Pelodiscus sinensis: one gene and its partner. The protein of the gene in region 2 binds, or shares a complex with, the protein of the main gene of each other region. Links are inferred from orthologs where the notes say so. Each region holds a gene or a part of one and is shown on either strand. Other genes may lie near its edges.

Region 1 (7,636 bases), on a different chromosome or scaffold from region 2:
TAGCTAGATGACTAATGGATTTCTGTATGGATTGGAGAAATGAAAGGCAAGATACAAGGAGGCAGGTACGCTTGGTGAGGTGGAAGTTAACCAGCCAGGGGCCTAGAGAGGAAAGGACAGTTGACTGTGTAGACTTACCCTTAGAAGTGATTTTTAGTTTTTAGCAAGAGCCAAAATATAAGGAAATGGAGAAGAAGACAGTGAGGATTCAAAGATGATATTGAGGTTGTATATCTAGGTGATGGGAAGGATAATGACATTTTCAGTGATGCTAAAGCAAAGAGACACAAGAAAGAATCTGGGAGGAAAGAGGAGACAAAATTTCTAGAAATCTCAGCTGAGGAGTGTCAAAGCTCTTTGAGAGTTCTGGATGGTTAGTCTCATCCATAAGGCCACATTTTTAAACGACGGATCTAATTTTGCACCAGTAATTGAATGCAGCATAAATAGTAGAATGGAAATATCTAACTGCCCGAGCGGTAGATTGTGAAAGATTTACATTTTATCATTAGTGTGCATATTTAATTGCATCAATTGAAAATAAGCACAAAAATTAGTGGCCAGGTTTGGGACTTTGAAAATATGCCCCATAGAACTAAATTCTTTTCTTAGATATATCCATGCAACTTTCACTGAAGACAGTGGACATTTAATGTATGTATCATTAATTCTGAGATGCCTGTGTATCCTTAATTTTTCCCTCTCTATGTAATTGGTCTAATGACTGAATGATAATCTGTTCATCATTCAATACCCTTCTTCTGCTCTGCTGTTTTCTGTCATTTATACCAGACTCTCTCCAGTATCTTACATCATTCTGATCTTGTAAAGTGATTTGAGATACATTTTACATGATGAGCACTATACAAACTAAAGTTGGATTGCTTTATTGTCATAATCTGACAGGGGATGTGCTCCGCATTCTCTGCACATTTCTATTTTTACTCCAACCAGCTATTCTGTCATTATTTTTCAGCCAGTTTTTTCATTACCTATTTGCAGAATTGAATGCGACAATAAAATATTGTGCTGGTTCTTAGCATTAAGAAATAATATGAAGTATAAAGTGAATGTATCTAGAGAATAGTAGATATATCTTGTACTTTAGGTATGCTGTAAGGGCATAATTTACTGTACCAAAATCAGATGATTCCATCCCTACAGTGAGTAGTACTTCATGATGCAAGCAGTCATAGGGTATGTCTACACTACCCCACTAGTTCGAACTAGCGGGGTAATGTAGGCATACCGCACTTGCAAATGAAGCCCGGGATTTGAATTTCCTGGGCTTCATTTGCATAAGCGGGGCGCCGCCATTTTTAAAACCCCGCTGGTTCGAACCCCGTGCAGGGGCACGAACTAGGTAGTTCGAACTAGGCTTCCTAGTTCGAACTACCGTTACTCCTCGTGGAATGAGGAGTAACGGTAGTTCGAACTAGGAAGCCTAGTTCGAACTACCTAGTTCATGCCCCGTGTAGCCGCGCTGCACGGGGTTCGAACCAGCGGGGTTTTAAAAATGGCGGCACCCCGCTTATGCAAATGAAGCCCGGGAAATTCAAATCCTGGGCTTCATTTGCAAGTGCGGTATGCTTACATTACCCTCCTAGTTCGAACTAGGAGGGTAGTGTAGACATACCCCTATTGAGTAACCTTATGTATACATCAATTATAATATAACAGCAATCATCTTGGTTAAGACATAGAGAACAAACAAATAAAAAACCAAAACAGTGAAGTGGGTCAGAATGGAATGGTAGAATCCTCTTCTCTTTTCCTAATTCTCAAAAACAAACAAACAAACAAAAACCAAATAACTACCTGTAATGATTTCTATTCTATGTTTTTTTAAAAAACACTTCTACAATAAAGGTGTTCTTTCTGTTCTTCAGCTCTTTTTATTATTTGTACTACAGGTTGAATCTCTCTAGTCCAGCACCCTTGGAACCTGACCAGGGAAGAACTAGAGAATTTGCCAAACCGTGGAGGTCAGTATTTTCTAGCATTACCAACATTTTCACTGCCAGGTCAAACAAACGTTATGGTACTGCAGGAAACTTGACTACACCCCTCATAAGTGGACATCCAGCTAGCTAAAATGATGCCAGACCACAGATGTTGCCAAACCAGAGAGTGCCAGATTAGAGAAGTTCAACCCGTACCAGAGTATCTATAAAACCCACAAGTCCTGTATGCTAGGTGTTGCACAATATTCACACTTCCTTTAATAAGTTGCAGCTCTCTAATATGTGACTGACTGACATAAACTGTAAAAATGTGCAAAGCAACCCCCAAAGAGCAAAGAATCTGGTTTATCCTCTTCCCTTAATATTTTCATGCTTTTGGGGGGAGGGGAATGTGTATTTTGGGGATGTGACACTAAACTATAACTTAATTTTTCCCAATAGAAAAATGAGTTTTCCCATGAAAAACTGTTTTTACAAATTGGCAGAATCCTCTGTGAAAAATAATTTCTTCCCTAAGGAATACAGGATTTATCGATCAGAACTCTTTTCTTTATAGATCTTAGCATTATAGAAACACTAAGGAACTGATCTGACTACCATTCTGCTTTTGGGAGTGAATGTAACATCTGAGTCCTTCAGAAAAAGATGGAAATGTTTTTTAAATTTAGTTTTTTCCCCAACAGAATTGTGAACAGCTGTATTTACTAGATTATAAATGATAAAAGGTCACTATGGATCAGATAAGTATACATAAAAACATTTTATCTGTTTTCACTTCTACATACTTAGGGAATTAAGATTTGTCATGTCACACAGCTCTGGTTTAATAAATCACAAAAAGCTTTACTACATTTAAAAATAAGGAACTCTTTTATCCTTTGCCTTTTAAAGAATGGCAGAGTCACATAAAGTCCTCAATCTCCACATGCGTACCATAATGCAATCTGCATCCAGATGAGCTCTAAGATGACTTACCCTGGTTAGGAAGCTCCCATTCGTATATTGGAAAGGTGGCTTATGGTTGTTAGAAGGAACTCCAAAGCGGTTGTCACCAATGCTGCTATTGTATCCAAAAAGGTGAAAGAGCACAATAAACAAAAAATGTTTCTTAAAGGTTAAAAGCATCCTAAAAATGTGAGGCACCCTTTCCGTGTCATCTAGTTTGTTTGGGTGCAGTTTCCATTTGACTGTAGTACTTAAAACTGGAACACCTCAGGGTTACGCCTGAAATTGGGCAAGCGACAGACAGACTTGCTAGACAACAATTCCTTCACTGCACTACTCACAAAATTGGGAGATAAAACACTGCCAATAATTATATATTTAAAATAGTTGCTAATAAATCTGAGTCACTTAATGATGAGGCAATGACATTTGAGTCAAGGGTATACATAGCTTTTTAGTTTCTGTGTTCCGTATTAGTAAGAATATATCCATTGATATTGTAAATCGTGTTATGTCATACTTCATTTGTTGTACAGGTTGTACCTCCCTAAACTGGGACACTCTGGTCCAGCAACATCTGTGGTCTAGTAGGACCGTGGAAGTTCCTAGACCACAGAGCCAAGGGACAGAGAGGTCTGGCAGCGGGGCAGGAGTACAGTGGGTGGGGAGGGAGGCGACTTGGCTGGGGAGCCCCGTGGCACAATGGGGAGCTCTGGCTCTTGCAGCATCAGGGCAGCTCTGGGCCCGGTGGTGGCTGGGGAGCTCCAGCCCCAGTGGTAGCTCCTGACCCAGGGGCCATGGAGCTCCAGCCCCAGAGAGCCCCAGCTGGGCCAGCGGCAGAGAGGCGGGGGCCTGAGGGCCAAGCATAGCCAGAAGCAGCCTGCGGTAGGGAGGGGCAGAGGGTTAGGAGGTCTTTAGCAAGAGAAAACCCCTGGTGCGGCAAATCTCCTTGTTCGGGACTGATCAGGTCCTGAGGGTGCCGGACCAAGTTAGTCCAAGCTGTGTAATATATAACTATGTTACCTATTCAAAAAACACAAAACAAACGTGAAAAGATCAATTGAGAGCACTCCAAAAAGAGACAAAGAAAGCAAAGACATGTATAGTTAATTGCTTTCATAACACATTGGGGCTGTGTCTAGACTGGCAAGTTTTTCCGGAAAATCAGCCGCTTTTCCGGAAAAACTTGCCAGCTGTCTACACTGGCCACTTGAATTTCCGGAAAAGCACTGACGATCTCATGTAAGATCGTCAGTGATTTTCCAGAAATACTATGCTGCTCCCGTTCGGGCAAAAGTCTTTTTCCGAAAGACTTTTGCGCAAAAGGGCCAGTGTAAAGAGCACAGTACTGTTTTAGGCAAAAAAGCCCCGATCGCGAAAATGGCGATCAGGGCTTTTTTGCGGAAAAGCGCATCTAGATTGGCCACGGACGCTTTTCTGCAAAAAGTGCTTTTCCGGAAAAGCTTCAATCTAGACACGCTTTTCCGAAAATGCTTTTAATGGAAAACTTTTCCGTTAAAAGCATTTCCGGAAAATCATGCCAGTGTAGATGTAGCCAGAGAGTTTAGAGAGCCATTCGTTTCCAAATAGTGAGGATACAGCAGATGTTTTAAAGCATTTCCTGTCTTTAAAGGGATTCAAAAGATGTATCTTTAGGCTTCATGAGGATATGAATTTGCATGTTTTGTATCAACAACACTAATTTCAATGCATTGTGTAATGCCAATTCCAAGGGAATGGAATTTTGCAACCTTGCTTGTTTTTCACAGTTTGCTATATAGTTGAGAGAGTCTGTGGGTCTGTCTGTTTGTTCAAGAACTCCTCCTAAACCGTAAGAGCTAGGACCACCAAATTCGGTATATGGCTTTGTCTTATCGTAACTTAAATCAAGGTAAGGAACTGGTTGTGCCAGGAAAATAGGATGTGCCTGGAATGGGATTGTGTCTCATCAAACCATACAGAAAAGATACAGAATTACCAGGTGGGTAACAAGGGCTGGCTGTGCGTGTGCCCTCCTCGGTTCAGGACTGCCCCAGCCTCAAATTTCTCGCTTCCAAGTGCCATTTAGGGAGAGCTGGGAGGAGGGGTAAGCTGAAGCTCTCTCGATTCAGACGGGAACATTGCTGGCTATTCCCCTTCATCAGGGAGTAAAGGGAAATTGCAAAGTTTGCTGCATTGCTCACTTTGGCTAGGAAGCTCAGGGGGAGAGGAACCTGGACCTCTCCCAGCTGGGGGACAGGTACCCCTCTCCTGGCTGTGCCTGCTGGAGCTGCAGCAGCCATGGAGAGGCACTTCTCACCTGGCTCCAAATTTCTGCCTCTCTCCTCTCTCCTCAGGGCAGTCTGCATCCTGAACCCTTCACTTCCAGGCTCCCCCAGAGCTCTGCTTCAAGTGAAGAAAAATTAAAATTAATTGAGTTAAGGACCCGAGCAACATCAGGTAAATCTCCTAATGGAATAATAATTAACACAATGGACTTCTTTCCTTCGGGCACCTATAAAGCTATATCTAGACTGCAGAGTTGTTCTGGGATACCAGAGGTATCCCAGAAAAACTCTGCCGCGTCCAGGGAAGGCATCCGCCTTTCTGGAACAGTTTCTGAAAAAACGGGCGCATTCTTTCGGCATCCATGTATTCCTCATTTTATGAGGAATAAGGGATGTTCTGAAGGAAGAGGTTTTTCCAACATTTGGCTCCATGTAGATAGGCCAAATGTTGGAAAAGCCTCTTCTGTTAAAACAAGCATAAAATGATATGCAAGTTGCGGTTCGCAATTTGCTTATCTTTTTCCGAAAAAACCCACCCACAGCATTGACAAAGCCTCACCGTGTAGCCTCAAGTTTTCCTCTCCTTCCCTTGGTTTTACCTTTATCAGGGAACAGTTTGTGTGCATAAGATATGTAACCATGCCTCGAAGATATGCTTAAGATTCTCTCAATTAACTTCACTGAAGTGACAACTCCATTGGATCTTGAGAGTTATGTACTTAACGAGGTGAGTCTAATGGACCAACAGCTCATGTTATAAAAGGGAGCTGGAAGGCATAAGAAGTTTGGAAAGCAAACAAAAAGCAAATATGAAGAGGTTTTGGAAATGGAAGCTTATGAATGGCTTAAGAAATTGACTCCTGGAATTAGACATTTGTGGCCTGAAGAAAAATTTCACATTCCTCCACTGGTTCCCCCTTCCCTTTCACATCAGACATAAGTATCCTGTCAGAAGACAGGTATTGAGCTAAATGGATCTTTGGTCTGACCCAGGATGTTCTTATGTTCTTATAAAATACTTGTCTTCACTTTCAAGATTCTTTATCTTGGCCTATCCCCACCCTCTTTCATTCCCTATCAAAATGTCAGCTCCTACCTAGATGGGTCCATGGTACCAGCCTTTATCACACACTTGTTACATTTTCAAAGAGTACCTTTCTCCTTTCTCTCATCCTTCCTCTTGTGCTTGGAAGGAGCTCCCCATAAACCTCTACAAAACCAACTCATTATACTCCTTCAAATCGTTTCTTAGTTATTAATGGTTCACAATCCTGCTGGAAAGGTATAACAAGTGGGGCTCCGCAGGGGTCTGTTTTGGGACCGGCTCTCTTCAATATCTTCATCAACAATTTAGATATTGGCATAGAAAGTACTCTTATTAAGTTTGTGGATGATACCAAACTGGAAGGGGTTGCAACTGCTCTGGAGGATAGGGTCATAATTCAAAATGATCTGGACAAATTGGAGAAATGGTCTGACGTAAACAGGATGAAGTTTAATAAAGACAAATGCAAAGTGCTCCACTTAGGAAGGAACAATCAGTTTCATACATACAGAATGGAAAGCGACTGTTTAGGAAGGAGTATGGCAGAAAGGGAACTAAGGGTTACAGTGGACCATAAGCTGAATATGAGTCAGCAGTGTGATGCTGTTGCAAAAAAAACCAAACATGATTCTGGGATGCATTAAAAGTGTGTTGTGAGCAAGACACGAGAAGTCATTCTTCCCCTCTACCCTGCGCTGGTTAGGCCTCAGTTGGAGTATTGTGTCCAGTTCTGGGTACCGCATTTCAAGAAAGATGTGGAGAAATTGGAGAGGGTCCAGCGAAGAGCAAGAAGAATGATTAAAGGTCTACAGAACATGACCTATGAAGGAAGGCTGAGAGAATTGGGTTTAAACTGCAGCAAAGGAGGTTTAGGTTGGACATTAGGAAAAAGTTCCTAACTGTCAGGGTAGTTAAACACTGGAATAAATTGCCCAGGGAGGTTGTGGGATCTCCATCTCTGGAGAATTTAAGAGTAGGTTAGATAAATGGTCTAGACAGTATTTGGTCCTTCCATGAGGGCAGGGGACTGGATTCGATGACCGCTTGAGGTCCCTTCCAGTCCTAGTATTCTATGATTAATACTCTCCTCTGCTGAGGTCCCCACAGAAAAATTCACAACATTTAGACTGGTAATATGCAGAGACCATAGCTTATCCTGCTGACCATATTGTCTCATTTTTTCTTTGTTCTTTCCCATCTGCCTGCCTGTGCCCATCTGTTTTCTCTTTACAACTTACAAGTGATGATAAGCTAACTGACATAGTGCCATGAATAATAATTATTCCGGCATCCCTTATGAAAAAAATTCCTTTCATATCGTAACTTTAAAAGTACAATTACCTAATTACTAAGTAACCATTAATTTCCAAGGAATTAAGCTGGAGGAAGCTGCTAGTGGAAAAAGTTTCCAAGGC
Region 2 (7,576 bases):
ACCATATTATAACTCTTCTGAAAGTGTATTCAAATTATGCACGTAACTCATTCCCAGCAAGGAAAAGGCTTATTTCATCCTTTTGCTATAACTGGTGCTTTAGTCATGTGTTCAACATATAAGCACCTTTTTATCCTATTATGATAATGTTGCTCAAATGAGAAAAGTGTAGGCAGCTGTATATAAAAGGATCTTCCTTCTAAACCCTCAGAGTTGACAAGTGCTGACAAATCAAAGTGAATTAATCTGGAAAGATTTGGGATTTTTTTTTTTTGTATTGGTCTCCATTTACTGGAGACTTCTGTTTAGAAAATAAAGTCAAATAAAAATCAACAATTATTTCATACCCATTTACTTTTCTATAGAAGGAAATCCCTCTACATTACTTGCAGCAGGTACATAGAATTATTTATGTTGTAACTGTCAAGCAAGTTCATTGCTGTAAATGAATACACATCCTTAGCTCCACCCTTTTATCCCCACTACCACTATTGAAAGTCATATGCTCACTGGAACTGATCATGTTCTAAGCAAAATGTCAATGCTTGGCTGTAAATCAGTGTAATTTTTTTCTCCCTGTGAAACCTCATGCTGAAGCAGGATGCTCATCAAGGTCACTATAAGATTATAGTTTTCAGTCTTGTAGAGAAGGTGCTAAGAAAAATCAATAAACATAAACATAATTAAATAAGCTTTGAAGTTTGTTGTTTGCCTTTCAATGTGAAATCACATCTTCATCTCCTGAATTTCAGTGATGGGTGGCAGGTAGATACCATGAGGCAGGTCAGCTAACTTATGCACTAGCTGTGCTGAAAGGTGAGCAGGAAATCTGGCATTTTGCAGTGTGACAGCTTAGTTCTGAGCAAACTATCTTCAACTGAATTTTTAGGAAGAGATTATAGTCTCCTGGGCTTGTCCCTGCTCCCTCCTAAGTAGAGTTTTAGTGTGGACTTTCAGCGGAGCAGGACTGGACAGCTTGCTTACTACACCTTTTCTGTATGCCCTGTTAAACTGAAACCATGCTGGACCCAACTTTTGTTTTCTGATTAATGTCAATCACCAGGAAGATCCATAGATGTACATAACTTCATATTTTTTCAAAAAAAGCCAGGAAAACAAAACCCACAAGAGAAGGAGCATCAGAAAAAAAACAATTACCAAATGGCATGGTAAAAGTTAAGAGATATGCAGATCAAATTCAAGCACTGTAGTGCATTGCATAAATGCCTCAGATACACACCGGGCTATCCTACAAGAGCGGTGGCTAAAATGCACTCTAGTAAAAGACTCCCACTATTGAGGGACATGCAAACACAGAGAAAAAGATAGCTGGGATGCTAATAAACATACACGGCATCATTCCCAGGGGCTGTAGCTGCAGAAGTGGTCACCAGGCTAGTCCTTTACCCCTATTCTTGGGCAGCTGCTGTAAAGGAGGTGTTTACCAGGCACTTTCACAGAGAGGGACCCAGGCTGGCTTGCAACAGAGCCCACTCTGTCGCACATGTCTCACATGAGGAGCCCTGGAGGAGATCGAAACCCTCAGGTGACTCCGCTACCCGCCCTACCCCCCAGCCCAGGACTTCCAAACCACCAGCTGCAAAGCCTCGGCGGCGAGACCTGTACGATCAAGGAAATCAAGGATGGGAGCCGGTGACTTACTTGCCAATGTGCTAGGTCAGGCGAGCTGCTCTCTCGGTGGCCCAAACGTGGCAGAGCTGGTCCTCCTCGGATCTCCTCTCCGCGCTATGGCCAAAGTATTTCCAACCCACTCGGGGACATCTCCGCGGCTTATTTAGCGTCACCAGGCATCTCTCTCCCCTTGGCCCGGATCGCAGGGGCCATGATTTAAACCGCAGCCTCCGGGAAGTTACACTCTTATTTGTGTTTTCAGAGGGGGGGGGGGGGGAATCGGGTGGAAGTGGCTGGTGAGCGCTCCAACTCCGGAGCGGAATGACGCCACCGACCCCGCTTGCAGTGGCAGGGGCGGGGGGTTACTTTCCGGCCACCCCAAACAATAAAATAAATAACTCGGAGGGGAGGGGGAGCGAGAGAGGAGGGAGCGCCGCCCTTTCAGCAGCAGAGCGAGGCGAGCCGGTGGATGGGCACCTGCAGCGGCAGCGCTGGGTCCCGCTGCCTGCGGAGTCCTGAGGCGCTGCCCATCCCTGCGGAGGGAGAGGGGGGGGGGGGGATCCGAGCCACCGGGAGCCCCCGCCAGCTGCCACCAACTCGCTTCCCGCGCGCGGCGGGGGAGGAAAGATCCGCCGTGCGGGGGCTGGAGCTGCCGGGCGTCCTCCGCCGCTGGAGCGCGGGAGAAACCCAAGTCCCTCCGTGCACAGCCGAGCCCCAGGCAGACAGGGGGAGAGATGGCGCTTGGGCGGGCTCCAGGCGGGAGGCAGGAAACTTACCGCGCCCCCGCCAAGTGCAGCGGGTGAGCCCCGGGAGGGGAAGCCGGGCTCAATCCGGATCCTCCCTGGGGAGCGAGCGCCGGGCTAACATCCGAGCCGGCTCCGCCAGGCGGCTTCTGGCTCCCCGCCGGGCCCCCGAAAGGAAATCACACGTGACGGGGAGAAGTTGAGGCTGCGGGGAGAGCGCTTTAAAGGGGAAAAGCTGAGGCGCTGGAGGGGGGTAGCGGAGCCCACCAATCCTTGTCCCTGTGGGGCCCGGGACGCTCACATTCCGCTGCCTGCGCGAGGTCCAAATCCAGCCAGCGCTGCTATTTCAAAACAGCCTTGGGGCCGGGGCGCGCTCAGTGCAACAGCGCCACAAGAACTCGCAACCTGCCCCTAGAGCCCGAGAGACTCGCCCCCCCCCCCCACCCCGATCCGCGGGCTCTCGCCCCCTAAAACCTTCATGTACAGAGAACAAGCCCACATTTTGCCACCGCAGCAGAGAATAAATGTAGCTTCTCCTATTGTTCTACTCCTTCCTCCTTTGGCCCACCCAAAATCTGCAGCAGGGCTTCCCAGAGCACCCAAAAAAACCTTGATGGGGAAGTGAAATATCAGATAGCACTGTTAAATTTTCCTCCTTGAACCTCCATATTTTGTCCATACAGAGAACGCCATTTAGCGTCTCCCTGTTGTATCTTTAAAATCCACACGGATGTGCCCCAGAGCCAAACTACCACCCAAACTTAGACCCCCCCCCCACACACACACACCTGGGAGCATGCCAAAGTTTCACCAAACACGCAGAACATGCACCTAAAATCAGAGTTAAAGGCGATGCTTCTACTGTTGCCTCAACAATCCGGACCCAGCAAAATTTGTAACGGCAAATGTTCTCATTGGGTACCTATAGCCTGCTAGAAATGGCTAATTTAGGCGTGCGTGCTCTATTTTACCTTCTTCTCTGTCTTACTGTACGTCATGAAATGCAATGCACTGCTTGGCAGATGGGAATACATTATCTTCTATATTCAGTAAAAGTTATGCATGGCTTTTTAAAACAGATACAGTTAAAGCTACAGGGGCTTTTTAATATTAAACGAACTGTTACAGTCCTCAACCAGTCCCTTGTCAATTAGATTACATAATCTACAAGCCCTTGACTATTTTCTAATTTGGGCTCTGGTACTTTGATTTTGTTGTGGCTCCATCTGCTAAGGAAATAACGCCCTGATTGCTACCGTAAAGAGATAAACAAAGATCCATATTTTATCATTTGCATGGCTGATCATTTATGGAACATCTCAGATCTGAGGGTTGCCTCCAGCTTTTGTTGCTAACATATTTAAAATGCATACTCCTAACTAGTTGCAGTTTCACAGGTTAAACTGATGTTTTCAACTTTCTATGTAATTGTGAGGCGGGCATAGGGAAGAAGGGGCAATGTTGGTGAATCATGATAAATTTGGCCCTGGATTCTGCACATGTGCTAAAATTTAAGCGGTGATGCAGCCAGAAGCAAAGTGGTGCCAAAGCAGAGTTTTTACAGCGTTCTACCAGAATTGGCTGGGGACTGGGAAGAAACATTTGTTTTTGGGGAGTGGGGGAGGGGCGTGGCAGAATAGTAGATCAAGCTTGTTCTGTATTTTAAGGTCCCTGGCCAACATTTGACAAGGTCCAGGTTTTGTATGCAGTGTTGCTTCTCAGTTCTGTCCCTGCAACAAGAGCAGCTAATTGTGTTTACAGGGGTGGGAAACCTTTTTTGGGTTGGGGGGTTGCAGACCCACACAAAAATGTCTGGATTTTTCACAAATTGAGAAACAAAAAACCCTCAATGACATGGCACCCAACTGAGAAAGACAAAGAGGCTCCCCACATTCCTCTTGCACACCAAAGCCTGGGGGGGGAGGGCAAGCTAGTAGATTTTCTGTGCTCTAGCTATGGAGCTGGAGCACCAGCACAGGTTCCCCAATACTGGGGGGAGCCCCAAGACTCAGGGGCCAGATCCAGGCAAGCAGAAGGCCACATCCAGCCTGGGTCTTGGATTCTCCACCCTTGGTTTACCTTGGGAGGGCATGGCAGGATCCTTTCACTGCTCTGCCCTGTGGCCCAAGAAGTGTACCTCCACTCTTTCCAGTTTATGGGGTAGAAACAGAAGTGGATTACCAATAGGCAGACTAAGCACATGCTTAGGGCACCAGCTAAGCAGGGGGCACCAAAAAATGAGATTTTACAGTATAGTATTATTTTTAATTTTAAATTACTTATGGGGGAACATCATAATCTTTTCAGTGCTTAGGGCCTCTAAAGGTCTTAATCCAGCCCTGGGTAGAAATACTGGGGGCAAAAATGTTTGCTGGATCTCACAAGATCCAAGTGGTGGAGCTGAGATTTTGCAGGTTGTGCCGAGATGCCTCAGAGAGCTGGGTGGGTGTGAAGCAGGAGACACTAGATTCGTCCCTGTTTTATGTGGAAGTGTTGGAAGGACAAGAGGGAAAAGGGGGGGGGCAGGCTCTAGCGAATCCTGCCTTTCCCGAGAGCTCCTTTAAGGGCTCAGTCGCAGTGAGAACAAATCAGTGACCTAGCTTATGTGCTTGCAGTTCCCAGGACGCCTGCCTTTTCCTCCCCTTCCAATCGATTGCTGGAGGAGTCCTAGCCGGCCGAGGGCAGTCGAAGTGCACGGACCCTTGGGAAGTTACAGGCAGAAGGGGAGGCGGCAGGGGGCAGACGCTCACGCCTGCCTGGCCGAAGCAGTGATCTTAGTGAGAACAGAAGCCGCGTGGGTGCTGGGAAAGGCTCGGCACGCGTGCGGAATGTTGGATATTTTGGGAGACGCCACCTCTTTAAAGACTCGGTCCCCCTGTAGTTTGTTGATTGCTCGCCTCGCCTGCCTTGCGAGGAAAGCTCGCCGGTGCTCGCAGAGAATGAGAGCGAGCTTACTGGGGAGGGACTCACACACCCCACACGTGGAGGCGTGTAACGTGGGGAGAGGGGGCTTGGCGAATTAATTCTGCTCGGCCGGGGAAGGAAGCCGCTGCTTGCACCCAGAGACGTCGGCTGCACCCGGGCAAAGGGAACCCGCGGGACTGGAGAACCCTCCACCCCCCAGCTGCATCCTAGCCCAGCTGCCGGAGCAGCCGCGGGGGCTCGTAGGGCGGGGGCGGGGCTTCAAACGCGTTCAGGGATAGGCTGCCGCTCGCCCCGACCACGCAGCTGGGCGGCCCCGCTGGATGATTTCAAGCGCCGCTTCCCGCTGGGTGTCAGTCAGAGCGAGGAGGTTTGGAGCCGCATCTCGCTCCCTTTCTCGGCCTGTCCAGCCCCTTTGCTCCCTGCTCGCAACCCATAGCATAGCGCATCCCCATCCTCGAGACGCTCAGCCAAGGGCAGTGTACGGGAGAGACATTTAAACCACGAGGGACCAAAGCAAACATCTTATTTATACAGGCATCCAGAGATCAGTGCATTGCAAACTCCTTAGTCCTGCGCTGGCTTAGTGTGGTGGTGATCCTCTTGATTTTCCCTTGCGGGGGGCGGTTAGGCTGGCAGATAAGATCTCTGAGCAGGCTTTCAATAAGTAGGACCAGGCCATATTTAGAGGACTAATTTCATCCCACTGACACTAAGTGGCGCTATAGAGACGAGAAAAAACTCACCTCTTAAACAGCTGAAATAAATGGACACTTTTCTCAGGGTTTGGGGTGACGGTCTAAAAGGCTTTTGGGAGTTTGAATTTTATTGAAAAGTTAGCAGCACGCGGTGTGCATTCCCTTTTCTAGCAGTAATGCCACACAGTTGAAGGGAAGTGATAGATCTGAGGAAGTGGGTCTGGCCCACGAAAGCTCATCATCTAATAAACCATCTTGTTAGTCTTTAAAGTGCTACATTGTCTTGCATTTTGCTTCAGCTGAAGGGAAGGGTAGTTGGGAAAATATTAAAAATGATTTCCTTGTTGATGTTTTACTTGACTTTTCTTGCAATTAGGCTGCTCTTGACGCAGGATTATTTAATTTCTAATTTTTATTGTTGAAAGCTCTCCAGCTGTAAATTTGGACCTGATGCAAACAAATAGTGTGAACAATAACTCTTCTATCACTTTTTATAAATATTAACTGCAATAACATTCAGTGAGCCTAGGCATCAACCAACATAATGCAACTTTATGCAGATTAAGTGCTAAACTAATAGGCTATGTCTAGACTGGCATGATTTTCCGCAAATGCTTTTAACGGAAAAGTTTTCTGTTAAAAGCATTTGTGGAAAAGAGCATCTAGATTGGCATGGACGCTTTTCCGCAAAAGCACTTTTTGCGGAAAAGCGTCTGTGCCAATCTAGATGCGTTTTTGCGCAAAAAAGCCCTGATCATCATTTTTGCGATCGGGGCTTTTTTGCGCAAAACAAATCTGAACTGTCTACACTGACCGACTTTTGCCCGAATGGGAGCAGCATAGTATTTCCACAAGAAGCACTGATTTCAGACAGTAGGAAGTCAGTGTTCTTGCAGAAATTCAAGCAGCCAATGTAGACAGCTGGCAAGTTTTTCCTCAAAAGCAGCTGCTTTTGCGTTAAAACTTGCCAGTCTAGACACAGCCATAGAGTTACTCTAGAAAGAGTAAATAAATTGTGATTTGATAAATACATAAGAACATGCACTCTGATGGAATTTATGCCTATTTGAACACATATACTTTGTATCTGGAGATACAACCCCCTTTTTAAATGGTGAAATATTAACTGAACAATATATCTGCCACCCAAATATGTATGTGACTCATGTTCAGTTCTTTTCAGTGGATCAGTAATTTGAATGGTCATTTCCAGTCATGTTTCTTTGGGGTTTTTGCCTCCACACAACTACTGGAAAAGTCAATTATATCTGCTACTATCCAAGTCTAAATATATCTATCTTTGAGTTGAGACACTTAAACGGATCTGATGAGATTGCAACACTGCAAGGATAACTCAAATATATGCTAAATCAATACATGAGAAAAGGCCCGTGAGTTTGAAAATGGATGCTCTTCTTCAAAAATTAAGCCAGTCATTTTCATCGTATATTCAGGAAGGACATTACTGCTTGAACGCCTGACAGAAATGTTGTTGAATTGAGTGTATTTGTATTTATCTATCTAATGCAATAACTTATCAGTGCCACATCTGATCAATTCCATGTTTGCAGGGAATGCTCT

What was found. Proteins that work in one complex are often made in the same cells at the same time.
Region 1: the proteins of SNTG1 (region 2) and transient receptor potential cation channel subfamily V member 3 are in contact, whole or in part, in a crystal structure (PDB 7QQN), measured with the Homo sapiens proteins. The link is inferred for Pelodiscus sinensis from reciprocal best matches to the Homo sapiens genes SNTG1 and TRPV3. Residues at the interface, in NP_001274742.1 of Homo sapiens: Arg62, Gly66, Gly67, Phe68, Gly69, Leu70, Ser71, Ile72, Lys73, Gly74, His78, Ser85, Lys86, His118, Glu119, Val122, Arg126; in NP_659505.1 of Homo sapiens: Pro786, Glu787, Thr788, Ser789, Val790.

What each region holds. Positions count from the first base shown.
Region 1 is NC_134731.1:3,845,051-3,852,686, reverse strand, and holds the start of transient receptor potential cation channel subfamily V member 3, read right to left. Parts: upstream 3,079-7,636; 5' UTR 2,940-3,078; intron 1,986-2,939; exon of another isoform or gene 1,914-1,985; intron 1-1,913. UniProt on the Homo sapiens protein: Non-selective calcium permeant cation channel. It is activated by innocuous (warm) temperatures and shows an increased response at noxious temperatures greater than 39 degrees Celsius. Activation exhibits an outward rectification.
Region 2 is NC_134712.1:68,483,082-68,490,657, forward strand, and holds the start of SNTG1 (gamma-1-syntrophin), read right to left. Parts: upstream 3,071-7,576; 5' UTR 1,663-3,070; intron 1-1,662. UniProt on the Homo sapiens protein: Adapter protein that binds to and probably organizes the subcellular localization of a variety of proteins. May link various receptors to the actin cytoskeleton and the dystrophin glycoprotein complex.